Saccharomyces cerevisiae S288C: one gene and its partners. The protein of the gene in region 1 interacts with the protein of each later gene in a pairwise test. Each region holds a gene or a part of one and is shown on either strand. Other genes may lie near its edges. The genes, in order: UTP8, UTP5, NAN1 and UTP9.

Region 1 (8,666 bases):
CAGTAATTGCAGCCACTAAAAACAAAAAAATTGATACAATAGGAAATGGTTTAAACAGGGGAAGCAATGGAGACACAGCGAGAAACTTAATGTCACTACCAACCAATACTCCTCGTAATTACCAAATACTTTCTGTAGCACAGAATGTATTTGTAAACGACGAACAAGCAGTGAAGAATTTCAAAAAGGAGTACAAAGATGATGAACCTGTCCTGCCTATATTGTTATTTGCATTAAAGCAGTACCGACCCGATATAATATCTGAAGTTCAAAAAGTAAGAGAAAAGGAAATCAAGTTTTGGGCACAACTCTGCCCCTACTTCACCAGGCGCAGATTAGCAAGTCAATCACATTTACTACATGCAGACAACATTTTTTTCCTTGTGGAAACAGGTATGTTGAAGGCAACATATGAACTACCACAAGGAACCTTGTACGAGATTTTTTCAAATGGCACATGCTTCGGAAAAATCATTGCGCCAGGGAATGCTATGCCTAGAGAACAAAAGCTCACCATCGAAACTGAAACTGATTCCGTATTATGGGTTATAGACTCTAGCTCGTTGAACAAATTGAAAGAAGACAATCTAGCATTGTACGTGGAGGTTGCATTAATGGTCATGTGTATCAAGGACACCAGATTCAAAGAATTACTAGGTTACACACTTGTTAGCGCATGAGAGCGTACACGTATATTTATTTAATTTCTTTTATTGCCGGCGTATTGCAAGTAATTTACACCAGTACTAAATAAAAGCAGGATGCTCCTGCATCTGTATAAGTGATGCCGTTGTAGGATTTTTACCATCTCGACTATAAACTTTTTGTACTTGAGTCTTCACTTCCGGAATTTTACTGCGCGATTTTCTTTGATAGGGCCCCTATCGTAGACGAAAAGTGATAATTCCCATCGATGAGCAACTACATACCTCACTTGACTTAATTGCTCTCCTAAAGAAAAAAAATACCGTTACTTTTTTCATTAATATACTACCACAACAATTCACAACGGGTAGTTGTACGGTTAGTTTATATCCGCATTAACAAATCAAAGTCATAACAACGTATCAACGTAGACTATGCCTGTCCCATCTGTTACTGTCACTACCGATAATGAATATGAAGACATATCGTCCTTTTCTTCTATTGACTCTTACAAACCGGAGCCCTTTACTGGGTTCAAAGATTCTGAAGCTCCAGAACAGCCTCTTTTAAAAAACGATACCATTGTTGGAAAGGGGCAACTGGAAGATGATAGTAATGTAGATGATCAACACCGTCATTCAGATGTGCATTCTCATCACAGTTCTAGTACTTTAAAAAGGCCAACTTCAAATTCGATAGAAAAGATGGTTACCCACAATGCTTTAGAGGGCAACTCAGAAACAGTTGATTCCTTAAAAGAAGATGGTTTAAATTTGAACAAGAAAGCTCTTCCGGATATTACCGCCCCAGTAACAAACTCAGCTCACGATGCTGCATTTCCAGAAGAGTATCGTTTAGAAACTGAAACCGGGTTGGTCAAATTGAAGACGCTTGAAAGTTTGAAGAGGGAGGACTCTCGCGTATCCTCAACTAAAAAAGAGCATATTAACGACCATACAGATATGCATTCGACACGATCCAAGGTTACTACAAATTCTCAAGGTTCTTCTCTAGAACCAAACAAGTTGAACATGGCAGTAGAGAAGAATAAGAAGAGGATCGAAAAATATCAAAAACATAAATCAGAAAAGGGGATCAAGGGGTTTTTTCATAGAATTTTCGATTAAGTGGCATAGCAACATTTAGTTCGCAATGCGTTTACTTCAGAATCATTCTTTTTTTTTTTTTTTTTTTTTTTTTGCCTCACATTATATTCTTGGCATCTGCCTAGCTTTCGACTTTTTCGTTCAATTCCTAAAGCGCTAAAAAAATAGTCTCCCCCTGAAAGTGGAGTAGGATAGTAGTATATGAAGTGAGGCAGAAAAGGAAAGAAACGCTTGCATTTATTAACACACCTGTGGCTAAAGTATTAAAAACCAAAAACTAACGAACAAATAATGTGCATTTTAATGGCCACAAGGGCACATCCTGACTATGAACTCATCTTAATATCTAACAGAGACGAATTCTTGGCAAGAAAAACACATGCTACATGCTGGCATAACAATGATTTTATCCTTTCACCCTACGATCTGGCCAAAACCTCAGCAGAAAAACAAATATTTGGCACTTGGTCTGGCATAAATAAAGAAGGAAAATTAGCCACTATTCTTAATTTAAAACTTGACAATGAGCAAAATAATACGAAATCAAGATCCCGTGGTCTGTTACCATTTATATTTTTGTCGATCCATAAAGCAGATTTTGAAGATTGGGATAATTACAAAAAGTTTGAAGGTCACTATGATGGGTTGAAGTCCACAGGTGATTTTAATTTTTTTTACGGCGACGTTATCAAAAAGCAATATAAAGTTATTGATTCTCTAGGAAGAACTTTTGATGTGTTGAGTTCTACCTGTAGGAAAGATCTTGATTCTTACATGGTTGTTTCTAATGGTAAATTTTATGACAGCTCCAGTATACCAGGGCAGGCTTGGGAAAAAGTAAAGGTAGCACGTGATAGTTTAGAAAATCTAGTTTTAGAGAATATTGAATCAGATGAGGAGAAAATAATATCAAGTTGCTTTCAACTCGCCTCGAAGTCTTCCCTTCCAAGCACTATTTCAAACCCAGATGTCTTGCAGATGGTAGATCCAAATGTAACCATGAATACCATATACGTACCACCTTTACGGAGGCCTCCCAGGGATGACTTAGGTGCCTCAATTCCTGATGGTGATTACTACGGAACTCGCTCTCAAATAGTTTTACTCGTGAGTAAGGATTCAACGAGAGTTACCTTTATAGAAAGGGTCCTTTATAGCTCAGATGAAGACGTGCGCAAGTATTCGGTAACCTCACCTAAGGAGGAAAAAAGGTTTAAATTCAAATTGTAAAAATCACAATCTTCCATTTTATTTCAAACTAGCTTTAAATTCCATCTTCTTCCCCTCAGAACATTCCGGTATCTCTTGTTGGACACATCTAATGTATATGATGTTTTCAAATTCTAAATGCCTGTTAGTTTATCAGTAACCACAGTAGACGCTATATATATTAGTTCCTTTTCTATATAGGTATTATACAATACAATCAAATTCATTGCATACTCAAATGTCCAAGTATTCCATGGTGTAAGTGGGTAAGGCTCGCTTCTGAGAAGTTCCGTTATCAAAGGTTGAGCTAGCAAACCCATGCTGAAAACCTTTCGTATCAATCAAATTCCACAATTCGGTATTTCTTTCAGCAATCTCAACTTGTTTGTCAATATATAAGGTTAAGTTCTCCAATAGAGCACCTTCTAATGAAAATAGCCCGATAGAATCTAGCACAAGGGACAAGAGTTGAAATAGCTGCGTGCTTTGGCTAGGGTTGAAGCATTCTGGTGAGCTGTCTTCACCACCGCTTGTTATGAACTCAATGAAATTTTGAACGTCTAATTTACTTAGTTTCTTCATTTCTTGTTTAATAGAGTCTCTGGTGAAATCCTGCAAAATCCTAAATGAGATATCAAGTAATAGTTCCCTGTTTCTGATAGAAAACAATTCTTCAAGTAGTTCATTTAATGGCAAGTTTGGGCATGTTACAATTGCTTGTTTAAATAATCTAGGTTGGTCTCTTAGTAAGGATAGCAAGTTGCGTGTACGACTCAATGGAAACAATGGGTGTGTCAATAAAAACGTTAAAGTTTTTGGATAATCATTTCCGCTAAACTTTCCGAAAATTAGATCTAAAACTTTATTCAAAAAGCCAGGATCAGAAATATATCTATCTTTTTCAGTATAATGTTCTTCTTTGATTTTTAGTTCTTTGAAAAATATGTCATCAAATGATGTAATGTCATTATCTTGAAGGGCTGAAAGCTTTTCAATAACTTCATTACAGTGGAGGACTGGAACGCTTGAATCCCCGCTGACGTCGTTACATTTCACTCTCTTGTCATTTATGTCTTTATCATCAAATAGCGGCTTTAAAATAACTGAGCTATCATTATTTCCAACTTGAAAACTCTTGCCTAATGAGTCCTTCAACGTATTAGTTCCAACATCAATATTAATTATTTCTAAGGAAGACGTTGGGTTTGGTCCATTTTTCGTTGAAATACCAATTGCTATTGTTTTTGAATTATGCGACTTTTCTGAATTGATCACTGCAGATTTTAATAGTTGGAATGTTTTCACGTGAGTTAATTCTCTTTGGCTTAAAGTAGAACAATGCAGTAAGTCTAGTAGATAAATGACGTTGTTTACGGTCAGTAGAACTCTGTTTACTGAAACAGGTTGGAAAGAGATTAAGTCATCTCCAGGACTGAGTTTATCCACCATCGGAAATTCAATAACTTGTTGCAATTGGCAATGTGGTAAAGAGTAAATGTATATTTTCCCCTGGTTCAATTTGTAAAGTTTTCCAAATTGATAACAAAGCTTTGAATTTTCAAAAGAAAATCCTTCGATGATAGTAGATGATAATTCTTTTATGGGCGAACTTTCTCCACTGCCACAATCTGTTAGCTCGAGCAATTTATAGCAGACTTTATCATCCTGTAATGGACAGAGAACAAAAACATATTCAGTTCCATTTTCAGTGAACCATTTAGCATATTTTAAGTTATCATAAGATATATCAAATGAATGCAAAAGTGTTAACTTAAAATCAAAAATTTCAATCAACCCGTTCTGTAAAATTGCAATTACTAAGCTGTTCTTGGTGTCAATTTTAATACTCATGACTTTGGCTTTCGCCTTGATCTTATACTGAGATAAAAATTCGTCTGAACCCGTGTATGCTTTATTGTCAATATCACTCTCACTCAGATGGTCATTTGAGGTATCAGTGGTATCTTCCAGTGCCTTAGTGATAACATTTAGCGTATAATTACCCTTATTTACCATTAAACCAAAGGCCCAAATTTCAACATTTCTTTTTTTTTGGGTGTTGATAGTCTTCTCGTTGTTGGCTTCATCATCGGTACTGGCTTCTATATTTCCGTCAATGTTCGCTTGACCTTTCTCAGCATTGCATGCCGTGATAATATTTGTAGAGGGTATTGGGTAATCGAATGTTAACTTTGGTGTAGGATTAATAATATATTGAGATATAGATGACCCGGAAATACCTAACGTTATGTTATTTGTAGATTCATTAAAGGTGCCATCTGCGACTTGAACGTAATCTGCTTGTAAAGAAAAATTGCTCAATGAAGCAATTTTTGGGAGAGTTGCTAGTCTAAATGGTTGAGACAGGGATGGCATTTTGAATCTTTACTATCCTCCGGAATGATTTGCTGTTCAAGGAGCGCTAGGTGTGACATATAATATTACAAATTTAACAGTGACCTCATCTCATCAAAGTTTTCAAATTTTTCAGGCATCTGCTACAGCATAATGAAAAAATTTGAAAAATACAGACATTTCCGTGTAGAATGACAAAAAAGCTAGAATATTACTATATTTTCCTTAAAAGAGCAATATTTGCGATGAGGGGCTCTCAATGACAATGTTTGACTTCTCTATTGAACTGTAAGCGAAGCAAAACCATATCTTGTCAAAGTATTCGAAGAATGGATTTTTACAAATTAGACGAGAAGCTGAAGGAGTTGAAAAGGAAAAGAGTAGATGTATCTATAAAGAGTAGGAAGTTGGCTGACAGAGAGATTCAGGAAGTAAGCGCAAATCGAAAACCAAGAGTATACAGTATGGAAGACGTAAATGATGCAGATGAATCAGTAGGAGATACAGAAAGTCCTGAAAAAGAGAAAGCATTTCATTACACTGTCCAAGAATATGATGCGTGGGAACGTAGGCATCCTCAAGGGAAGACTGGGCAAAGCCAAAGAGGTGGAATTTCCTATGATCAACTTGCAAAATTGAGTTATGAGAAGACCTTGCGGAATCTCGCTACGCAAACACAGAATTCGAGCAAACAGGATAGTTCCGCCGATGAAGAAGACAATAAAAACGTACCCAAGAAGGGTAGAATCGGCAAGGTACAGAAGGACACTAAGACGGGTAAGATAACAATTGCAGATGACGACAAGCTAGTTAATAAGTTGGCCGTTTCTTTGCAATCTGAGTCGAAAAAAAGATACGAAGCAAGAAAAAGACAAATGCAAAATGCAAAAACACTGTATGGGGTTGAAAGCTTCATTAATGACAAAAATAAACAATTCAATGAAAAATTGAGCAGGGAATCAAAAGGATCAGAATAAGCTTCTCTTTTATTTAGAATATACCGATATAACCAAAGGAAAGTTTTAATACCCTGGATTTTTCATCGACCGTCACGTGACGAGCTGAGGTTAAATGCCCGCAAAAGTGCTTCAGAAGAGAGTCCATCTTACTCGGTTATTTGAGCACGAAACACTAGAGAATAACTAACTGGTTGATAAATTGTTGATTGAGTAAATATTGGTACATAAAACGGTTACAAAGAGAGGTAGATTAGGAAGGGTGAAAATAATCAAAGGATAACTTGATGATACTCGACAAAGAATAGAAGAGAAAAATAAAATAGAGGTGGGATATTCCTTGAACAAAAGTGGAATATTATTTTTTTTAGGCATACATGACGTCTTCCTCAGTATGATATTCATACAAGGAATCGTCCTTTGGAAGGACGCTCGTATTCTTTTGTGAACGGTCATTTGGTATTTTGTGGTTTTCAGCCGCGTGTATACCTTCAGCTTGTTTGTGCTGCCTACTCAATATTTCTTGCTTCAAGGCCTCATCAGCGTTTTTCTGGCGAGTTTGTTCCTCGATAGCCTTTTCAGCTTGTAATCGCGTTCTTTCCCTCTTGACTGCCTCCAGTTCTTTCTCTTCGGTTGCCAGCTTATCCTGTAGTTCAGTCAATTGGTCATTATAGGTTTGCTTGACTTGAGTAATTTGCTGCTCATGATCTAATTGAGCCTGATGCGCTTGTTCCTCCAGCTCTTGGCGCTGTTTTTCCAATAAGTTCTCTTCTTTGCGTTTTCTTTCTTCAGCTTCTAGCTTCAACTGTTCTTCATGAGCGCGGCGCTCATCTTCGAGTCTTTTGGTAATTGCCGATAGTTGAGTTTTTTCATTGGCGTTTTCCTGCTTGATTATGGTCACTTCGTTCAATAAGCTTGATATTTGATTATCAATATCATTAATTTGTGGAAGATATTCCTTGTTCTCTACACTTTCCAAAACTTGTACATTTTTTTCATGCAGCTTCTTATTTTCTTCAGTTTGGGTAACCAAATCCTCCTTTTTCTTTTCCAGATTATCGATTTCGTTTTGAACTTTGCCTTGTTTCAAATTAATCTGGTTAATCTTAAAGATCTGAGCATCCAACTGTTGAGATAAGTTACTTAAGTTCGTGGTCCAGTCATTGAACTCCTTTTGGACATTCGTTTTCTCATTGTTCAAATCATCGATTTCTGACTTAACGTTGGTTTGTTTGTCCAAGACCTCATTTTTCTCCTGCAACTTTTGGTTTTTCATATTTTCAGTGTCTTTTAATATCATTAGTTTCTTATTATTATGCTCGGCATTAACATCAATGATTTTTTTGACCAACCGGTTTTTACTAACTTCAATTTTCTCAGAAGTTTCTTCTCTCATGGCCTTCATTGAATTTTCAATTTCGTCAATCTGATTTTGTAAATCTTGTAGCTTTTCTTTGTATTCTTTATTTTTAGCATCATATTTATCCTTTTCCTTTGCTCGAAGATCAGCTAACCATGCTTGATGAATTTTTTCATCATAATTGATTTTATCATAAACTGCCTTTGATAGGTAACCATGTTCTTTTGTCTTTACAATTAATTCAGGATTTTCTGGAGTGGCCACTGGATTGGATGGAGCGGCGGTCTTACTTTTTTGGGTAGATGAAGAAGTAGGGCTTTTCCATAAAGCGAAAATTCCGGTTCTTTCCTTTCGAGAAGGTTCCTGAAAAGGGACCTTGGGAGCCTTGCTTGGATCGATTGGGCTTTCATCTTCTTCGGATTCCGGTTCCGAGGTTTCTGGAGTAGACGTTCTCTCAGCAGATTCCTCTGCAGACGATTGTTCGGTTTCCTCTTCTGCATCCCCTTCCGCTTCCACTTCCTTTTTTTCTTCCCCACTGGGAGGATTGACTTTTTTTACATCGGATTTTTCCTCCTTTTGTTCGTCTGTTGGCACGACACCTGACTTTGAACCGCCACTTTGATCTGTAGTGCGTGGTTCCAACACCCCATTCTCGGATGAGATTGGTTCCGCTACATTAATTTGAGCTGAATCAGCAGTGCCTTTGCCAATTGAAGTAGACTCACTCACTTTGTCTTCATGTTCTTCCTCCACGGAAGTTGCTTCATCAGCACTATTTTCGACAGCATTAGTAGTAGAAGTGCTGGTAGTAGAAGTACTGGTGGTAGTGGTTGTCGTAGTTGCAGTGTCAGCAGTTGCTTCAGTGGCCTCAGATGTGGTAGTAGAAGTAACGTCCCCTTCATCTGATGAAGACGATGACGATGACGATGACGATGACGATGACGATGATGATGTAGAAGTGGACGAAGAAGTAGTAGTGTCAGTGTCATCTTTTTCATCCTTAGTTAAGTCAGTAATTTTCTGGCACTTCTTCAA
Region 2 (8,359 bases), on another chromosome or scaffold:
CCTCATTTTGAAGTCATTCAAGTATGCATGTTTGAACAACTTGCCTCAATACTTCAGCCAACCTGAAAGAATTATGTCATGGGTGCAACTACATTTGTATTTATGTTCCAAACCATTACCAGTCGAAGTAATGGAACTGGATCCCGCAGATAGGTCCCTAGACAAAAGGGTTAAAGTGAACAAATGGGGGTTCGGTAACTTAAACAGATTCCTGCAAAGATACAACAAAATTACAAAGGCCATCACCAAGGAATTTATCGACTATATCTTCAATACTATTGTTCCTATAATTCTTCGAGAATTTTTTAAGGATATTGAAGCTTGGGGTAATAATTCACTATGGTTATCCGATTCCTCTTTGTATTTCTTAATTTCATTCCTAGAGAAATGTGTTACAATAGATCAACTTTATCCTTTAATTGAGCCACATTTACAAATTATTTTTGAGAACGTCATCTTCCCATGTTTGTGTGCTAATGAACAATCCATCGAATTATTAGAAGATGACCAAGAGGAATATACCAGGCGTTATTTTGACATTAACAGAGAAGGCTCTACGCCAGATGCTGCTTCAGCAGATTTCATATTCTTGATTGGGTCCAAACGTCCTGAGAAACTGAACAATATTTTACCGTTCATTAATGATATTTTTACTAGATTCGATGCCAATTCCAGTGATATTAACATGGCATTTAAAGAAGAGGGTGCTTTGAGAACATTGTCTAACTTGTTTTCGTTTATAGATGAGCCATCCGTTCTGGAGAATATTTTTGGACACTTCATCGTGCCATTGTTATCGCAGGATAAGTACATGTTTTTGGTTGCAAGAAGTTTGGAAACGATAGCGCTGTATTCGGAAGAATTTAAAGATATGAACATATTGTCACAATTATTTGAGTTAACATATACCAACTTCTTAAACAGTAACGTTTTACCAGTCCAAATTGAGGCCGCAGATGCCATTAAATGTTTAATTGTATCCAATCCTCAAATCCACCCAGCGGTCTCTGCTCATGTTCCAGGTATGATGGAAAAGCTATTGAAATTGTCTAAAATCTTTGAAATCGATATCTTATCTGAAGTCATGGAAGCATTGGTGGAGAGATTTTCAGATGAACTATCCCCATTTGCTAAAGATTTAGCTTCAAACCTAGTCGAACAATTTTTACGTATTGCTCAAGCATTGGTAGAAAATCCATCGGAAACCTACAGCGCAAGTGACCAAGAGCAGGAAATCCAGGCCAGTGGATTGTTACAAACAATGACTACTATGGTCATGTCAATGAATAAAGTTCCATTAATCGAGTCCTTAGCTCCCGTGGTCAAGTTTGTTGTACTTCATGCACAAATTTCTTTTATTACGGAAGCTGTCGACTTACTGGATGCTTTAACTATTTCTTCGCATCTGCTTTATAACCAAATTGCACCACCAATATGGGAGTTGTTACATGATATATTGGATTCTTTCCAAACTTATGCCATGGACTATTTTGAGGCCTACAGTATTTTTTTTGAAACCATCGTGATGACCGGCTTCCCACAAGATCAAACTTATGTTCAACCTCTGCTAGAAATTCTCTCTGCTAAACTGGAAAGTGAAGTTGACTACGACATCGAGCATGTTATGCAAATTCTAATGTACTTCGCACTGTCCATGAGAGACATTCCATTATTCAGCAAAGCCATCAAAGTATCCACTAATGATGAGCTAGGATTGGACTCTAAATGCATCGTTAAACTGGGACTGGCCAATTTGTTTGCTAAACCAATCGAAACTTTACAAATAATGGAAAATGAAGGTTTTACTATAAATTTCTTTACCAATTGGTTTAATGAAAAGTTCTACAGTGTCTTCGCCATCAAATTACAAGTCCTGGTCATTTTAACCCTTTTGAAGATGCCTGAAGTTCCTAATAGTGTCAGCCCACTACTAAATAACCTGACCAATAAACTGGTGGAATTGACATTATCATTGCCAAAGGCAATTAGAAACCGTGATGCTGTTACCGAGGGCAAATCCTTAGAAGGAGACCTGACCCCAGAAGAAGAAGAAGAATACTTTATCGAATGTGATGATGATATGAAGGAGACAGTGTTAGACCAAATTAATGTTTTCCAGGAAGTACATACCTTTTTCAAGAATTTGCAAAACGAAGATGCCGGTAAGTACGAAAAAATCATAAATTATCTGGATGAATCTAAGAGAGATTCCTTGCAGGTAATTCTGGAATTTGTTTCTCAACACTGAGGAGAACACAAAAAAAATAGTGGAATGTGATAGTTTGAAATAAGGATATTAGTTTATACTCTAATATACAAATATAAAAGTTGTTTCTTTTTCGTTCTTTTTTTTTTTTGGACTTGTCTTCGTTTTTATTACATACATGCATGCGCTTAACATATTCCCATGTGGTTTATTTTCGTATATAGCATTACTTTGTTTAGAAGCTTCTATTCAAGAAGAATCCTCCGACTTAACCGGATCAGATACACTATTGTGGTGTAATCTGGACCTTGACTGTCTAAACAACTCCTCTTGTTGTCGTAGCAGCTCTTCTTCCGAGAGACCTGACTTCTTGAACTTGGAATCCCTAGTTTCTTTCACCTTCTGGGAACCCTTAAAATTCAATAATATTTCCTCTAAGAATGGTATAAACTCATTATACTCCAACTCTTCTAGCGCTTTGATCACGTGCTCGGGCGCTATGGTTTTCTTAGCCTCGTTGTCCGCCATTTCGGAAGCCATCGAGGACAGGATCATTATGAATTCTATGCCGGAGTTGATGATGATTTCTCTTGCATCCTTGGTAAACATCAAATCCTGGTCCAGTATTTCAGATATCATCTTTTGTACGGTCGCTAAGATCATTCAGTGTTTTCTCTAAGTTAGTATAACCGCTCAGTACCCGCATCAAAGCTTGAGTTTTGCAACAACAATATAACTAACATACCCTTGGGAAGCGACACATTATCGGAGTCTCCAGCCATCAATTAATTAATAGGTACAACTGTATTAGTAAATATCGTTATGATTTCTTGCCCACCTTATACTGGTAACTCTGCACGATAGAAATCGACAAGGCGAGCAGAGGGCGAAAAGCGCGACCAAAAACCGCTTCCATTTATATAGGAGGGAGAGTGCAGCGGGCTGGGCGTTTTAAAGTGGTGCAAGAGTTAATTGCACATACTGGAATACGCCAAAGATAAGAGCCCGAGCTGATTAAACCAGATCGTAATTTTTGCGGCGACTATTCGCATGAACAGGCTATGCTGCATAGTGGTGGCATTTCTTTACAATAGTTTTGGTTGAACGTGTTGTACAGTTCCCCTTATTCTTTGATTGTCATTTAACACGGGGATGAGCTTCTTGACAAAAAAATTTTATCCAATTTTTTTTCATTTCTTTTTCTAATCTTTCGCAGCTGAAGCGATGAGGTGAAAAAATTAACAAGTATTGGATAGGATATATGTATGTAAAGATAGATGCAGAGCATATATAGTTTAAACTTGGCTTAGCAAGAGGGTAAAAGACACATTTGCCTTATAATTGTTCATTACCGATGGATTCTCCTGTTCTACAGTCCGCTTATGACCCATCAGGTCAGTATTTGTGTTATGTCACTGTAGCTTTGGACAAGCAACGCGTTGGTGTACAGCCCACTCAAAGGGCCACTTCCTCCGGAGTTGATACAGTGTGGAATGAGAATTTTCTGTATTTAGAGGACTCGAAATTGAAGGTGACGTGCTTAAAATGGGTAAACCTGGCTTCTTCCGACACAGTGGCTATTATATTGGGTATGAATAACGGTGAAATTTGGCTATATTCCGTATTGGCCAACGAAGTCACCTATAAATTCACTACGGGGAATTCTTACGAAATCAAAGACATAGACTTGATGGGTAATCAACTGTGGTGTATCGACTCCAGCGACGCATTCTATCAGTTCGATCTGTTACAATTCAAACTGTTACAACATTTTAGAATAAACAACTGCGTTCAATTGAATAAACTAACCATTGTTCCAGCAGGCGATTCTGTTGCACAACTTTTGGTTGCATCCCATTCCATTTCTTTAATAGACATCGAAGAGAAAAAAGTCGTAATGACATTTCCCGGTCATGTATCTCCAGTGTCCACATTGCAAGTTATAACTAATGAATTTTTCATATCAGGCGCAGAGGGTGATAGATTCTTGAACGTATATGATATTCATTCCGGTATGACCAAATGCGTCCTTGTGGCTGAATCAGATATCAAGGAGTTATCTCATTCAGGCCAAGCCGATTCTATCGCAGTCACTACCGAGGATGGTAGCTTGGAAATTTTTGTTGATCCATTGGTATCGAGTTCAACAAAGAAAAGAGGCAACAAGTCCAAAAAATCCAGCAAAAAGATTCAAATCGTCAGTAAAGACGGCAGGAAAGTTCCAATTTATAACGCATTTATTAATAAAGACCTTTTGAACGTATCGTGGTTACAAAATGCTACTATGCCTTACTTCAAGAACTTGCAGTGGAGAGAAATCCCTAATGAATATACCGTCGAAATTTCCCTAAATTGGAATAATAAAAATAAGTCCGCCGATCGCGATCTACACGGTAAAGATCTTGCCTCAGCCACCAACTACGTGGAAGGTAATGCAAGAGTCACCTCTGGAGATAACTTCAAGCATGTTGATGACGCTATAAAGAGCTGGGAAAGAGAATTGACTTCTTTGGAACAAGAACAGGCCAAGCCCCCACAGGCCAATGAACTATTAACAGAAACATTTGGTGATAAGCTAGAATCAAGCACCGTCGCAAGGATTAGTGGGAAAAAAACAAATTTAAAAGGTTCCAATCTCAAGACTGCTACGACAACCGGGACGGTAACAGTAATTCTGTCGCAAGCACTACAATCAAATGATCATTCACTGTTGGAAACAGTGCTCAATAATCGTGACGAGAGGGTCATTAGGGATACTATCTTCCGTCTGAAACCAGCACTGGCTGTCATTCTCTTAGAAAGGTTGGCAGAGAGGATTGCAAGACAAACCCACCGTCAAGGCCCATTGAATGTTTGGGTAAAATGGTGTTTAATCATACACGGTGGCTATTTGGTTTCTATTCCAAATTTGATGTCTACTCTATCGTCGTTACATTCCACCTTGAAAAGGCGTTCCGACTTATTACCAAGGCTACTAGCACTGGATGCAAGGTTAGACTGTACTATAAATAAATTCAAAACTTTGAACTATGAAGCAGGCGACATCCACTCATCCGAACCAGTTGTCGAAGAGGACGAAGACGACGTTGAATATAACGAAGAACTCGATGATGCCGGCCTTATAGAGGACGGTGAAGAATCTTATGGCAGTGAAGAAGAAGAAGAAGGTGATAGTGACAACGAAGAGGAACAGAAGCATACCTCATCTAAGCAAGATGGCCGTTTAGAAACGGAGCAGAGCGACGGCGAGGAGGAAGCCGGATATAGTGACGTTGAGATGGAATAGAGGATATCATGCATAAAATGCTTTCACGCATCAGAATACAAAAATAATCTCTAGGCACATAAATACTTATATAGAGTTCACCACATAATGTAAGAAAAGAAAAAAGAAAAAAAAAGATCACGAAAGTATCCCACGCGAAGAAGATCTGTCAAAAGACCCCCACAATCGTTTATCCTTTTTGAACTGCATCTGGCATCGTTAACAGTAAGGCCATCTGGAACATCAAGCAAGCACTCCACTTTTACGTCACAACCATAGTTGGTTAACTAAGAAAAGACAGTACATATTTCCCTTCCGAGTCACTTATTTTTTTTTTCTTCTGAAAAAATTAATTAGATTAATTTCAATTAATATCATTTCCGCTTATCTGACTTCTTTCATTTTTTTTCTCTATATTTCGCGTTTACTAGGAAAGAAAAGGAAAAAAAATTTTTCCCCCTCCATCTGTCCCAAATCGGGTAGCGATGAGCTGCTATAGAATTTTCTATTTAAACATGTTTGATAAGCCCAATTTCCGTTAGATTTTGTTCCCCCTTCGCAGTTTGGTTTGCCGTAACTTTTTTATTTTAGTCTCCATCTAGCTGGAGTAATACGATGTAGTGCCTTGTAATCTTTCTTATTTTTATATTACCGTTCGTGTTCATTATATCCATTACGTTCCCATAATGTCGGCAAACGATAAGCAATACATCTCGTACAACAACGTACATCAACTATGTCAAGTATCCGCTGAGAGAATTAAGAATTTCAAGCCGGACTTAATCATTGCCATTGGTGGTGGTGGTTTCATTCCTGCTAGGATCCTACGTACGTTCCTAAAGGAGCCCGGCGTGCCAACCATCAGAATTTTTGCTATTATTTTGTCTTTGTACGAAGATTTGAACAGTGTAGGCTCAGAAGTTGAGGAAGTTGGTGTTAAGGTTAGCAGAACACAATGGATTGATTACGAGCAATGTAAATTAGATCTAGTCGGCAAGAACGTTCTTATCGTTGACGAAGTCGATGACACCCGTACCACACTTCATTACGCTTTGAGTGAATTGGAAAAGGATGCAGCTGAACAGGCAAAGGCTAAAGGTATCGATACTGAAAAGTCTCCAGAGATGAAAACAAACTTCGGGATTTTTGTTCTACACGATAAGCAAAAACCAAAGAAAGCAGATTTGCCTGCCGAAATGTTGAATGACAAGAACCGTTATTTTGCAGCTAAAACTGTTCCAGACAAGTGGTATGCATATCCATGGGAATCTACTGACATTGTTTTCCATACTAGAATGGCTATTGAACAGGGCAATGACATCTTTATTCCTGAGCAGGAACACAAGCAATGATAGACATATCATATCCTTCAGTAACTTGAATCATACAGCAGAATTTGTACAATAGACAACGCATATAACTGCGACCATATGTATACGTATAACTAATTATTATCTCAAAGTTTATTCCCTTAGCCTCACCGGTAACCTGTGAGGCGCGATTACGTTTTCCCTCTGTTCACCACCACGTAACGCGATATTTGACACATACGTGACAACTACTTTTGATGGAATCTGCTGATTTTTTTACCTCACGAAACTTATTAAAACAGATAATTTCCCTCATCTGCAAGGTTGGGGAAGGGTTGGACAGCAATAACCAGCGACTGTTTGAAGAAAAGATGACTGTTAGTAAAATACCCATATGGCTAGATTGTGATCCTGGTCATGATGATGCCATAGCCATTTTATTAGGCTGTTTCCATCCAGCTTTCAATCTTCTAGGAATCAGCACGTGTTTTGGTAACGCACCGCCAGAGAATACTGACTACAACGCCCGTTCTCTTTTGACTGCGATGGGCAAAGCACAAGCGATTCCAGTTTATAAAGGCGCACAGAGACCTTGGAAAAGGGAACCTCATTATGCTCCTGACATTCATGGTATATCAGGTTTAGACGGCACTTCTTTGCTACCTAAGCCAACATTTGAGGCAAGAACTGATAAAACGTATATTGAGGCCATTGAAGAGGCGATTCTAGCTAACAATGGAGAGATATCCTTTGTGTCTACTGGTGCACTTACCACATTAGCAACAGTTTTTAGGTGTAAACCATACCTAAAAAAATCTGTCAAATATATTAGCATTATGGGGGGTGGACTCCATGGTCTAGGAAACTGTAACCCAAATCTTTCTGCTGAATTCAACGTTTGGATTGATCCTGACGCAGCGAATTACATATTCCGTGATCCCGATGTAAAGGACAAATGTATAGTAGTTCCTCTAAATTTAACTCACAAGGCCATAGCTACTTACAAGGTTAACGAAATGATATACAACGAAAAGAATAACAGCAAGTTACGAGAATTGTTTTTGGAGCTTTTTCAATTTTTTGCTCATACCTACAAGGATATGCAAGGATTTGAATCGGGCCCACCTATACATGATCCGGTAGCTTTGATGCCGCTTTTGGAATTTTATGGGTGGGATCCATCGTCTGCGGTTGGATTTCGCTACAAGAGAATGGACATATCCTGCATTGATGATGTTTTCAACGAAAACTCAGGGAAAATTATCATTGAAAAAGAATATCCAAATGACAGTGATGTTGGTACAATAATTGGTCTCGATTTGAATATCCAGTACTTTTGGGATCAGATTTTTGAAGCATTAAATAGAGCAGACAAAATGTCAACGATTGGATAAGAACTTCTATAAAAGGCTTTTTTTTTTTCTACTGACCTTTGGTCAGGTTCTGTTCCTTTCATTTTCACTGGATACAAAGAAGTTTCACTAAAAGTTGTCGCGATTGTATACATATATGCGTATATATACAATTCTACATGTTTTATATTTATTCCATTATATTCTCGTTAAATTTTAACTTTAA
Region 3 (9,577 bases), on another chromosome or scaffold:
AAAACTCAGTCAAAATAGGAACTAAACCAGTCCTTAGTAAACTTGAAATACCTAATATGTGAACTTTTTTGAATTTAGGATCAAAGATATCTCTAAAACATACTATCCATCCGGTTAAAAGCTTGTTTACAACGGAATCATACGTCTGATCCTTAGACACAATTTTTCTTATTGATTCCGGCATGCGTGCATTTTCGTTAGAAGTTGGTAGATTGTCATGATATGTAGCTAAAAAAGTCATTAAGGCGTCTGGATTCACGTAGGATATTCTAGCGATGATTTGAATGATTTGCGAGCATAAATAAGATGAAGGAGCTTCTTCCAGGAAAATGGCATCGAATAATGCTGATAATACTCCGGTTTCATAGAATTTTTGCAATAACAGATTTTCGTAATCCGACTCATTGGATAATATCAAAATTTCCCAGATTTCTAAAACCAACTGAAATGAATCTTCCCTTAACTTTAAAAGATATTTAGACATTTGTTTAAAAATATCTTGAAATGTGTTGTTAGAGAAAAAATCCACAGGATTCAGAATCAGAGCATAACTTTTGATAATTTCAAGTAAAGTTGGGAGAATCTCTGTGTGTGTCTCAATACCATACTTTAGAAATGGCACCAATTCAACGAACTTATCGTCAAACTCTTGATCGTGGGATGAAAAATTTTGAAGAAGCATGCCCCATAGTTCATACCCGTCTTCGCTTAACAACTGATATTGCATAGAAGAGGGATCACAGGCTAATGCAACCACAGGTATGGCGATATCCCACGTTAAATGTGACTGTGATCCCAAAGATGATACCAAATTTCTCAATAACCTTAACAATGCGTTTGCCAAAATAGCCTCACTAGCATTATTTGTTGCTATTTCCCAAAGGTTTGGTATGATTTGCAAAATTTCGACTAATAGATCCCTGCTAATTAAAGGTTTTGTTTGAATTATGATATCGCTCAAGGTGTTTAAAACATATAGCCTTGTCTCGGTTAACGACACAGATGGTAAAATTTTCCTCAACAATAAATGAACATTTTCAGTTAAAAATGGCTGAAAAGTATCCTTGTTGAAGTTCCAGTCATCAACCATGGTTCTGACAGTCTGGACTGTGGTTAACAAAACAACTTTGTCGTCTTCATCTGTCAGGAAGTTTGTAAATAACTTGTAACATAAACTTTTAGATTCTTCCGAACACTTCACAGTAGACCATTCGTTTATAATTAAAGCAACTCTTCTTCTGATAATCCTTAATTCGTCGCCTGATATGTTTGTATTTGTAGCTTCTGGTAAAAAAACCTGAATTAGTAACCTGTCAAAATCTACCATTTCACTAACAGCGGATGCACTTAATTGGAAACTTGCATAAATTGCGTCTTTCCTTAAAAAATCGTCTAATGAGTTTGATAGCTTTGAAGCATCATTTTCAATTTTCTTTAACAGGTAGGGAACCAACAGCTCAGAGAAAGTATTCATTAAGTCTTGAAAAACGTTCTCTGCACATGGTCTGATTTGATATTCGTAACTCGTGGCCATTTGTTCGTTTATCCATTCTTCTGGATCCATAAACCAATTTTCTAATTCAGTTGGTCTTAACCTCAAGTACCATTCCATTAAAGTGTCAACCAACCTTGTTATCAAATTCTCATTCAGAAATTCTGTGTTGATTTTGTTGATAGAAGCATCTATGGTTAGTTTATCACTTCTTGCTTTTAACGTAATTGCCCCCTTTTTGTGAATGAAATTAATGACCCTTTTCAAAATTAAAAGCCCTCTAATAGCAGTCTGTTCCCAAAAGTCCCCCGTGACATCAGAATTCTCTCTATATACTTTAGGGGCCTTATCGAAAATTAGCCTAGTATAAGTGATTAGAATTTGCGTAGAGCATGGCAGTAATATGAAATTAGCCGGAGAGCCAGTGACTAAATTGAAATATAACTTTCCTAGGCATTTGATAAACTTTTCGTAAATATCAAACTTTTTGAAGTTTTCATGGTTTGAAATTAACATCTCAAAGTGTGAAACGGATAGTTTAATAAAATCGCAAACAGACTGATCGGTTTGAGGGCGGTCGTATCCTTCACAAATTATCCTTCTGAGCACTTTCAAAGCTAGGTAAGAAACTTGTAAACTGGAAAGATCCTCGTAGTTGAGATTGGAGGATGTCGTCCATTCTTCAAATGATTGTAAATAAATCCTGACAATTAGTGGTAATATCAAAGGAACTTTACTTTGCATAGCGGGTCGGCACCTTCCTATTCTCGCAGTACCTAATACTTTAACGATTTGATTTATATGCATCAATATATTGTAAATCTTAACTGAATCTTTTCTGATGATCTCATCGTTCAATAGGTTTTCTAGATCCTCAAATAAGGTTGGCCACTCTACGGGAAAATCTAGCCTTGCAATCCTTGCGGAAGCTTGGGCATTCTGAATACAAAGTTGATTATTCTGTTCATCGATCATTTCAAAAAGACGACCTCTTATCGAGGCTTTTTCATCTTTAGGTATAGCGTTAATTCTAGTGGATCTCCAGTATTTATCCACGCCGTTCTTAAATTGAATTACCGCCAACCATCTAATTTGTAAAGAATTAGATAAATTAAGGTAGATTGACTGTAATAAGTAATGAAATCCCGCTTGAGTCTCCCATTGTCTTAGTTGTTGTTCGGCTAATTTTTGAACATCTGACCTAATATGTTGTGGGTTACTTGCTTGTTCAAGTACTTGAACCAAGTTTAACTCGTTAAGAGACGAGGCCATTTTTGTTTAACGCCTTTTAAAATTTGATTCGGTTGACAGTTGAGGCAAGCTAAAAAGTTAATAGTTTATGGTGCCTCCTTTTTCTTAAACACAACACCTACCAAGAAGTTTGACAAATATTAAGCTACCCAATTGTTTGAAACTTCAATCTTCTTACATGGAAATGTACGCTATAGAAGTGTAATTCAAAAAAAAAGAGGCGGCTTATTTGGAGAGATTATTTTATTCATCTTGACTGAGGATGCTCATCAAACAAAAATCGTATGAAGAGATTTTTTGTATATTATGATAGTTCTATTAACATTAATGATTGTGAAGCTTTTTACGAAGTGTCTGTTCCTATTAACCAATGCATTCTCTTCCCTTCCCTTGTAACTAAGTTATACAGATATTTTTGCTTTCGGTTTGCTTTATAAACATATATATATATATATATATATATATACCTTTATATCTATTTTGGATATCCAATGGAAGAACCCTAAAGCTATGTTAATACTTTCATCACACGATCAAAAAATGTATCCATTTGCACGTTTTGAATGTTGTCAAACATGCTCGTAAAACTATTCATATTGACTAGCTTATCTTTCTTTTCGCCATTTATAAATTCCAAAGCGATATCTTCTTCATCTTCGTCGTTATCATTGGTATTTTTATCTCTAGTGTCACTTTTTTTGCCCCTAGACGACAGTTTATGCAATTGTTCTGCAAAAATATCGCTATTGGATGCCGAAGTTGTGATGGTGTTACTTACCAGGCCATCCAATATTCCTTCGTTATTAACTTCATCAGATAGTTGAGTATTCACAGTGGTTCCGACAACACCTAGTGTTGATTCTATGTCCAAAAATATGAAATCAGTATCATAATTCCAACCAATCCAAGATATGTATTCATGATGCGTAAAATTACCCAATTTTGTAGATAAGTCAGAATCGAATATAATAATACGGGATTTGTAATTGATAGTTGGTACGCCATCGAGATCAGTTAGTTGTTGATTTATAACCAGGGCAATGTTGCCTGTCCTTTCGTCACAAGTAATAAGCCTATCCATGTGACCATTTTTATACACTCCGTTAACAAACGGATATAAGTCAAAACTATTTATGACTTGACCCCGCAATAAGTTGATGGCGTTTAATGTAGTCCTGGTGGCCACTATTAAATTTGTGTCATTAATCAACTTGACGGTTTGGATTTCAGAGTCTAACGTGAACTCACTGACCGTCTTTGTATTTTCCAATGATTCAAACTTTTTAAAAGTGTCGAAATCTAAAATTTGCAACTTGTCATCGAAACCATGGAATATTAGAGACCCGTCTTGAGACCAAGCTAAAGAAACGGAGTTACTGAAATGATTAAAGTTTGGTAAAGAAATTTTTTTCAAGCACCAGTTGCTCTCATGAGAGTCGAAGGACCAAAATTTCAGTCCACCGTTGTTGTCAGCCGTTAAACAGCCTTGACTATTATTAACTGATCTTGGTGAAGGCAATATCTTGGTAATTGGGACACTTATCCCGTGTGGATTTATTACTTTCGTTTTCAAATTCCAATTTGTCTCATTATCGTTTTTGGTCCAAAATTTCAAGATATGAGTTAAGTCCTTGGAAGATAAGAGGTCATTTGGCGGATACTCAATTTCGTATGTAATCATCCATTGCCCATCTTTGGTGAACTTCAAATCAGTTATTATTGGGTCTTGTAAATTCAGTTCAAATCTAACTTTACCCATAGAATTGTTGACACCTGATGTTAAATACTGATAGTTAACTTGCTCATTTTTATAGAAGTCAAAAATTTGAACAGCAGAAATGTGTGGGAAATACAAGTTCTTGTTAATAGGGTTTATTTCTACATTAGTGGTGAAATCTTGTCTTCTCGATTTAATTAGTTTTCTAGATTGTTTCTTCTTAGAGTGATTGAGAGAGGTAATTGAGTTGGAGTTCTTGGTATTCATGGCCGAGATTGGTTGCTGAATGTGTTTTATGGTGCTATTGAACACCGGTAATGGCCCGTTAATCGACAATTTGGAGGTCAAATCAGAAGCATTCAAAAGTAAAAATTGGTAGTCAGAATTTGAATTGTTTTCAGTCATTTGTAGGATTAAAGAGTAGTAGTTCCCTTGAGGTCCCAATACCTGACAGTCGATTATAATACCGTTCAAACGAGGCAGGAATTGTTGAGAGTTTGTTTCCAATTGCCATAAACTCATAACTTTTTCCCAACCACCAGATAGCAAATAGGATCCATCGTGAGAGAATGAGAGTGACAGCACAGAGTCTATATGCCATTTGAGCAGTCTTATTTGTAGATCGGCCAGGCTTACGATACTTATAACTCCGGAGGCAAATCCAACAGCCAGTTGTTGACCCATATTGTCTATGGCCATGCTAGAAACGTACCTTGTGTTATAGGATAGGGATTGAGTCTGTGAAGAAAGGATGGAACCGAGGGGAAAGCTTAAATTTACAGAATCATCAAAAAGCGAAACAACTGAGATGGATTTGTGTTCGTGATCTTTTGTTGAGACGTCTTTGCACATATGCGCTAGCAGTTTACCATTGGAAGAAATATTTGACAAGATAACGTTGTGCCATTCTGCCTGATGAGCCACTTCAAATTGCTTTTTAGCATCGTCAAAGGTTAATGCATATAACCTGTACGATTGCAAAGAGTTATGTGCCTTTTGACTAGGGTCCTTGAACGTTGTCAAAATTCTATAGTTGCCCTCGCTATGGAAAACATTTGCAAGCTTTTCATCTGCCAAAGAGATTTTGAAATGCTTAGGGGACTCGACCAGCTTCCCCTTATAATTTAAAACAATTACATGACCATTATTGGTGAATACGGTAATCAGATGAGCGTCTTCTTGTTGCGGAACGGTTATATCACCCAGCAGAATCTTTACAATCGATTCATTATTCTCTTCTTCTTGCAGAAATATTCCGGATAACAAGGAGTTATTTGCAAACTTTAGAGTCTTAACACATTGTCTAGTTTCCACAGAATACACCTTGATCTGATTGTTAAAGGGTATAATATAGTTTCGTTGGTCTTGTGATAGGCGGGCGATATTCTTATTGCCGGTTACTGAACTGAGATTATTCAAAGCGGGTTTCCCACCAGATACGACTGACAGTTTATACTGTTCGATACCTAGGGATTGCGTCATTCTGGTGATCAGCTAAAATGGTTCTGGTTTGTACTTGTAGTTCCTGTGACGACAGCCAATATAACTGATATGTAAACTGTGCCAAAAATCATTTGTTCGAAAAATTTCATCTCATCTCATCGCTAGGAAAAAGAAAGGAAAATTTTTTTCTAGTTTCTCCTTCTCACATTTTACATCACTTACCACGTACCCTAAGCAGTAGGCCGCCTTAACCCTGACGTGCTATTTTGTTACCCTACTGATGTGACCGCTAGATTTTGACATGCCAAGCAATACAAATCTCCAAGAAGTTGCTGTTTGCTTTGATGAAATGCTATTCTGTGTCAAAAATGCCCCCTCCTAGGGACTTGCGTCTAGGTAAAAGCTATTCTGCACAATAACAGGTTTGATGGATGATTTTTGTTTGTTCTCTTTGGCTTTTCATTTTCGCGTCGCGTTTTCTGCTGTTGTTTGTTTTTTGTGTGGAAAAGCGGGCGGTCAAAGTTTTTTGTTTATCTGCCTTTATTTAAAGAGGAGGAGCAACTATAGATTTGGGGAGTTGTTATTTATGGGCACCTGATAATGCTTGGCAGCGAGGGAAGCAATTATAATACAACTAAAGCAACATGGCACCCAAGAAATCCACTACCAAGACCACAAGTAAGGGCAAGAAGCCTGCAACCAGCAAAGGCAAGGAGAAATCAACTTCCAAGGCCGCTATCAAGAAAACCACGGCAAAAAAGGAGGAAGCTTCCTCCAAGAGTTACAGGGAGTTGATCATTGAAGGGCTCACGGCTTTGAAGGAACGTAAGGGATCCAGTCGTCCGGCACTCAAGAAGTTTATCAAGGAAAACTACCCGATCGTCGGATCCGCAAGCAACTTTGATTTGTACTTCAACAATGCCATAAAGAAGGGTGTGGAGGCCGGCGATTTTGAACAGCCAAAGGGACCCGCTGGTGCTGTGAAACTGGCCAAGAAGAAATCTCCAGAAGTAAAGAAAGAAAAAGAGGTCAGTCCAAAACCCAAGCAAGCCGCCACTTCTGTGAGTGCAACCGCATCAAAAGCGAAAGCCGCATCCACGAAGCTAGCGCCAAAGAAAGTAGTGAAAAAAAAATCGCCTACTGTTACCGCCAAGAAGGCCTCTTCGCCTTCTTCATTGACCTACAAGGAAATGATCCTTAAAAGCATGCCTCAACTTAATGACGGTAAGGGCTCCAGCCGTATCGTTTTAAAGAAGTATGTCAAGGACACTTTCTCCTCCAAGTTGAAAACAAGCTCAAATTTTGACTATCTGTTCAATAGCGCTATCAAGAAATGTGTTGAAAACGGCGAGTTAGTGCAACCAAAGGGCCCCTCCGGCATTATTAAACTAAACAAGAAGAAGGTCAAACTCTCCACGTAAAAAGTGAATATCCAAACGAGAATGTCAATGGTGATAGCAATACTATCAAACCTATTTTCTTTCTTCATTTTTGTGTCCCATCACTATTAGTATTTTGTATTATTTCTAAATTTTTTTCTCTCTAATTTTCAATCTTATTCAAGTGTTTGTTGGCGGTACTGTAAATTTTCATTTTTTAATCTCTCCCTTCTCTATTTGTTACTTATTCGGTAAATATCTCCTTTATGATTTTATTCAAATTCCATTCTTAACTAACTAACTATACTGTTTATAAATTTCTCTTCTCTTATATATGCAAGGTACAGTGTGTAAAATTAATTATTGTATTTGAAGAAAAGGCTTTAAAATCTGAACATTTGAAGCCCTAATATTCTGCACCGTGCCCTATTAATTTTCGCCCCTTTCCGTAGAAGCCCGGCGAGACCTCATTCCGACTAATTTTCCTCAATGCTTTGCCCTTCCTTGTAAACATTATAATAAACAATCATCTCAATATTGGCGTTTTGCTCCTATATCCTTGCCAACATTTAAGATTGTGGCTGTCCCATCTGCGACAGAAATCATTTTACATTAGTTTTTCTTTACTCACTTCTTTCCCCATTTGTCATGGATTCGCAAGTGCCCAATAATAACGAAAGCTTAAACCGCTTCAATGACATCATCCAAAGCCTGCCTGCAAGAACTAGGTTGACCATATGCTCATTATGTCTGCTGGACAATATCTCCACTCAACTACTGAGGTTTCTTATCCTTAATGCCAACTCTCCCAATATTATAGCGGTTTTGACGGACCAGACGGCTTTCCTAAGCTCAGGCGAAACAGAAATTTTTCAAACGTTAGTCAAGCTCTTTAAGCAGATCAGAATGATTTACCACACCAGATCTCCGTTACTGTCTGTTCACGACGTGGCGCCTGGTTTATGGTTTCCCAACTCCCCTCCCCCCCTTATATTGAGAGGCCACGAAGCGTTTATTATTACTGCCATAAGAAAGGCGAATCTGCTAACATTTCTATTGACGTCGCTGAACTGCCTTAATTACGGGTTTGAGCTGCTACAGTCGATATTTCTCGATATTTTCTGTCCAAATACAAACACTGTCGGTAACAACTCCCTGGAACAAAGCGGAAAGTTTTTGAAATCGCAGGCTATCCTATATCTTGATCTGAAAACACAGGCTTACATTGCCGGCTTGAAAGAGTTTCAGGACGAGACGAACGAAATTTCTTTAGAAAAGAAACAAGAGCTACTAGACTTAATCTTCCCATCCAATCTGGCTGATATTCTCGTGCAGAGAAGAACCGGCGATTCTGGAGACATTACACTTTTGACTCCATCGGAGAAGGACTTCGTCGAAAGGTGCGATCGTCGGAGAGAAAATTTAAAGATCGTCCAAGATTTTAACTCTCTGACCCAGAGCTACGAATGGGCTCAATTTATCAGAGAGTTGCTGGATTATTGTAATAAAAATATGGGTCTCATCATATGGGGCAGAAAGGGTCGCGGAAAATCACCATTATATGACTTTGATGTCAACGAGTTTGATCCTCAAGTACTCTTTTCTACAGGGACCAGGACCGTAGAATTCATGGACGACCAAAATCAGCCAAGCAGTGCGTCTGCTTTTTTGTCAACTGCTCGTCCGAATCATTACAGCACACATACACCTACCACAGATGTGTCTTCCAAAAACCCCGCTATCACACAATCCATTGTGGATGCCGCTGTTGCGGCCTCGATGAGCAACAGCAGCTCTGGTCCTCATTCCTCTCATAACAACAGCAGTAACAGCAACAATAATGGTAGTATCGGATTAAGAAAACCAAAGGCGAAAAGAACTTGGTCCAAAGAGGAAGAAGAAGCATTAGTGGAAGGCCTGAAAGAGGTTGGCCCATCGTGGTCTAAGATTCTAGATTTATATGGTCCCGGTGGTAAAATCACGGAAAATTTGAAGAACAGGACGCAGGTACAACTGAAAGATAAAGCCCGTAATTGGAAATTACAATACTTGAAGAGTGGCAAACCATTGCCTGACTATTTGATAAAAGTGACCGGTAACTTGGAGAAAATCTACAAGGCAAAGAAAAAATTCTCTCAATCTCCAAATTCGTCAACTATTATGGAACAAAATTTATCTCAGCATCCTTCATCAGCTGCATCTGCTACTGAAGACACTCAAACTCATCAAGAGGATTCACATGGGCAAAATAGTGATAATATGCCATCTAACGGACTTTTTGGCAATAGTACATCG
Region 4 (3,780 bases), on another chromosome or scaffold:
CTCGGTGCTATCGCGTGAGGAATACCTACTCCTGTCACTTTCTGTACATATGCATTTACATAGCATCGTTCTTTCTATCAGTTTATCTAATTTGTGACGCATCTTTCTTCTTTCTACACTGCGGAAAATCCTATTTGAAAAAAAATAGACGAAAAATATCAGGACCCACCCCCTTATGAAGGAGAGAAGGGGAAGAGGAGCTGCAAAACAAAAAGGTGAGGCTTCTTCTGTCCAGATTTTTGTGAGTGAGAGAGTGTGTGGGAAGAGAAGGAATTAAACCAAACAAAAATTGGAACCAACAACTGTTGCGTTTGCGTGTGTGCATAATATCAAAAAAGCTACAAATATAATTGTAAAATATAATAAGCATGACTCGTCCCCCATTGGTTCGTGGAATCTTTTCGTTAGGTCTTTCTGTAGCCGTTTTGAAAGGTGTTGAAAAAACAGTTCGTAAGCATTTGGAAAGACAGGGATGGATAGAGCCCCAGAAAGTGGACTATGAGTTAATTTTCACTATAGATAGGTTGAAAAACTTGGTAGATAATAAGCGTGAGGCTTTAACTGCGGAACAACCCGACGCTGGTGAACTGAGCTGGCGTAAAGTATTTAATTTCATTTCCAGACAATCCAGCGAATTGGACACACGAATATACGTTCTTATACTACTCCTATCCTTTCTACTACCTATCGCGTGGACTGTACTGGACGGTGATCGCGAGACCACGCTAGAAGATAAGGATAACGATTGTAATGTAGATCTTATTGAAAACGAAAGGAGGCTGAAGCATTACAACGATGGTGAAAGAGCAGTATTGCAATTTGGTAAAAATAGATCCGAACCTATTATATTAAGCTATAAGGACATGAACGTTTTGGAAGGGGAACATGAGTTTACCTCCAAAGAGGAACACAGTAACAGCCATTTGACAAGCAAGAGCGAAAATGCACTAAACCAAGTAGGGAGTGAAGATTTGTTAGGTTGTCACCTGGAAAAGCAATTGGAAGAAGACAAAAATGAACCGAATGGAGAAGCAGACGGTGAGGATGATAATAACCGGGAAAAGGATTGCAGCTCCAGTTCAGAAGTTGAGTCGCAGAGTAAATGCCGAAAGGAAAGTACTGCAGAGCCTGACTCTCTCTCACGGGATACCAGAACAACCTCTTCCCTTAAATCAAGTACATCATTCCCCATATCATTCAAGGGCTCGATAGACCTTAAGTCGTTAAACCAGCCTTCATCATTGTTGCATATACAAGTATCTCCCACAAAATCTAGTAATCTAGATGCACAAGTGAACACTGAACAAGCATACTCTCAACCATTTAGATACTAATGTACTATATTTCCGTCATCTCGGTTATCATCGTCACTTACAACGAGGTGCGAAAATTTTTTTCTTCTAAAGGTGAGAAGAAAACATGAAAAATTTTGAAAAATTTAACGATGAGATGGAGTTTTCAAGTAACTTTATGTAGTTGAAATACATATTAGTACTCCGTTGCAATATATAACGCCGGGCATTCTCCACGTATATACATACCGTAGTGCACAATGGGCTCCTCTTTGGATTTGGTGGCGAGCTTCTCGCATGATTCCACTCGTTTTGCATTCCAAGCAAGCGTCGCACAAAAGAACAATGTGGATATTTATCCATTAAATGAAACTAAGGATTATGTGGTCAATAGTTCATTAGTGAGTCATATTGACTATGAGACAAACGATATGAAGGTTTCAGATGTAATCTTCTTTGGGTGGTGTAGTGATTTGATAGATACGCAGTCATCCAATATCAAAAGAAAATTAGATGAAGATGAAGGAACTGGTGAATCAAGTGAGCAAAGATGTGAAAACTTTTTCGTTAACGGATTTCCTGACGGAAGAATTGTTGTTTACTCTTCTAATGGTAAGGATATAGTTAATATCATCAAGAATAAAAAAGAGATTTTGGGAGCAGACACAGACGAGTCTGATATATGGATTTTGGATAGTGATAAAGTCGTTAAGAAATTACAGTATAACAATTCGAAACCTCTAAAGACTTTTACGCTAGTTGATGGTAAAGATGACGAAATAGTTCATTTCCAAATTTTGCACCAAAATGGCACTTTATTGGTATGCATTATTACTAAACAGATGGTTTATATTGTTGATCCATCAAAGAGAAGACCCTCTACTAAGTATAGTTTTGAAATATCAGACGCTGTAGCATGTGAATTTTCTTCAGACGGTAAGTATCTGTTAATTGCCAACAACGAAGAATTAATAGCTTACGACTTGAAGGAAGATTCAAAGCTGATCCAATCATGGCCTGTCCAAGTGAAGACATTGAAAACTTTAGATGATTTGATAATGGCTTTGACTACTGATGGTAAAATTAATAATTATAAGATTGGCGAAGCCGACAAAGTTTGTTCTATAGTTGTAAATGAAGATTTGGAAATTATAGATTTCACGCCAATAAACAGCAAGCAACAGGTTCTAATTTCATGGCTAAATGTCAATGAACCCAACTTTGAATCTATTTCTTTAAAAGAAATTGAAACTCAGGGGTATATTACAATAAACAAAAATGAAAAAAATAATGCTGATGAAGCGGACCAAAAGAAATTAGAAGAGAAAGAAGAAGAAGCTCAGCCTGAAGTTCAACATGAGAAGAAGGAGACTGAAACTAAGATAAACAAGAAAGTTAGTAAATCAGATCAAGTTGAAATTGCTAATATTCTCTCATCGCATTTAGAAGCTAATTCAACAGAAATATTGGATGATCTGATGTCTGGAAGTTGGACAGAACCAGAGATTAAAAAATTCATCTTAACCAAGATCAATACAGTAGATCATCTAAGTAAGATATTTTTGACTATATCAAAGTCAATAACACAAAATCCATGGAATGAAGAAAATTTACTTCCGTTGTGGCTTAAGTGGTTGCTGACTTTGAAAAGTGGGGAGTTAAATTCTATAAAGGATAAACATACAAAGAAAAATTGCAAGCATTTAAAATCTGCATTAAGATCTTCAGAGGAGATCTTGCCTGTTCTACTCGGTATACAAGGTAGATTAGAAATGTTGAGGAGGCAAGCAAAATTGAGAGAGGATCTTGCACAACTATCTATGCAAGAGGGTGAAGATGATGAAATAGAAGTTATAGAGCATTCAAATGTAATTAGTAATCCTTTGCAGGATCAAGCATCGCCTGTTGAAAAGCTTGAACCAGATTCAATTGTTTATGCAAATGGAGAAAGTGACGAATTTGTCGACGCATCGGAATACAAAGATTGATCAAGCATTTTAAATATATTTAAGTATATACAAAGAAAAGTTTCACATGAGAAGCACTGATTGATGCAGCTATTAATTTTCAAAAGATTACGTTGTCTTCATCATTTGAGACGGGTCATCGCAAGAAAATTTTTCAATATTAAACTATAATAAAATGTAGTAAAAAATAGATGCAATACTACTATTCAATTTTTGTGGTTTTCCAGTTATCAAACTAAGTATAGACAAAATTTGAGCATGTCAGAGGAATTTATCGCAGTTTCTACTTTGGCTAGAAACCTGGAAATTGCCAAGGGTAATGAGTTTCATACCATTTTGGCGACTTTAAGATCACCAGTTTATATCAATGAACAGCTGCTAAAATCCGAATTGAGCTTCCTTGTTACAAAAATCCTAAAACTTATCAGATCAGGCAATGACTTTGATCTTTGGAAAGGATGTCACACCTCTGTTGTGACTTGCGCCTATAATCCACTGGTCTTATCGACTCATGGAGGTCA

The links.
Region 2: the proteins of UTP8 (region 1) and UTP5 interact in binary tests that used the Saccharomyces cerevisiae proteins (3 or more experiments, as listed by UniProt).
Region 3: the proteins of UTP8 (region 1) and NAN1 interact in binary tests that used the Saccharomyces cerevisiae proteins (3 or more experiments, as listed by UniProt).
Region 4: the proteins of UTP8 (region 1) and UTP9 interact in binary tests that used the Saccharomyces cerevisiae proteins (3 or more experiments, as listed by UniProt).

The regions. Positions count from the first base shown.
Region 1 is NC_001139.9:744,756-753,421, forward strand, and holds UTP8 (Utp8p), read right to left. Parts: upstream 5,337-8,666; coding exon 3,195-5,336; downstream 1-3,194. Other genes in the region: VSB1 (Vsb1p), read left to right, coding at 1-680; YGR126W (uncharacterized protein), read left to right, coding at 1,080-1,772; YGR127W (uncharacterized protein), read left to right, coding at 2,043-2,981; SYF2 (Syf2p), read left to right, coding at 5,645-6,292; YGR130C (uncharacterized protein), read right to left, coding at 6,639-8,666. UniProt on the Saccharomyces cerevisiae protein: Involved in nucleolar processing of pre-18S ribosomal RNA. Also has a role in nuclear tRNA export. It acts between the steps of tRNA maturation/aminoacylation and its subsequent translocation out of the nucleus.
Region 2 is NC_001136.10:1,263,911-1,272,269, forward strand, and holds UTP5 (Utp5p), read left to right. Parts: upstream 1-3,560; coding exon 3,561-5,492; downstream 5,493-8,359. Other genes in the region: SXM1 (Sxm1p), read left to right, coding at 1-2,248; negative cofactor 2 transcription regulator complex subunit NCB2, read right to left, coding at 2,456-2,859, 2,952-2,988; HPT1 (hypoxanthine phosphoribosyltransferase), read left to right, coding at 6,158-6,823; URH1 (trifunctional uridine nucleosidase/nicotinamide riboside hydrolase/nicotinic acid riboside hydrolase), read left to right, coding at 7,153-8,175; DIT2 (putative cytochrome P450), read right to left, coding at 8,324-8,359. UniProt on the Saccharomyces cerevisiae protein: Involved in nucleolar processing of pre-18S ribosomal RNA. Required for optimal pre-ribosomal RNA transcription by RNA polymerase I together with a subset of U3 proteins required for transcription (t-UTPs).
Region 3 is NC_001148.4:306,575-316,151, reverse strand, and holds NAN1 (Nan1p), read right to left. Parts: upstream 5,943-9,577; coding exon 3,252-5,942; downstream 1-3,251. Other genes in the region: karyopherin KAP120, read right to left, coding at 1-2,764; HHO1 (histone H1), read left to right, coding at 6,548-7,324; TBF1 (Tbf1p), read left to right, coding at 7,931-9,577. UniProt on the Saccharomyces cerevisiae protein: Involved in nucleolar processing of pre-18S ribosomal RNA. Required for optimal pre-ribosomal RNA transcription by RNA polymerase I together with a subset of U3 proteins required for transcription (t-UTPs).
Region 4 is NC_001140.6:490,379-494,158, forward strand, and holds UTP9 (Utp9p), read left to right. Parts: upstream 1-1,552; coding exon 1,553-3,280; downstream 3,281-3,780. Other genes in the region: MDM31 (Mdm31p), read left to right, coding at 1-18; NVJ1 (Nvj1p), read left to right, coding at 369-1,334; RIX1 (Rix1p), read left to right, coding at 3,518-3,780. UniProt on the Saccharomyces cerevisiae protein: Involved in nucleolar processing of pre-18S ribosomal RNA. Required for optimal pre-ribosomal RNA transcription by RNA polymerase I together with a subset of U3 proteins required for transcription (t-UTPs).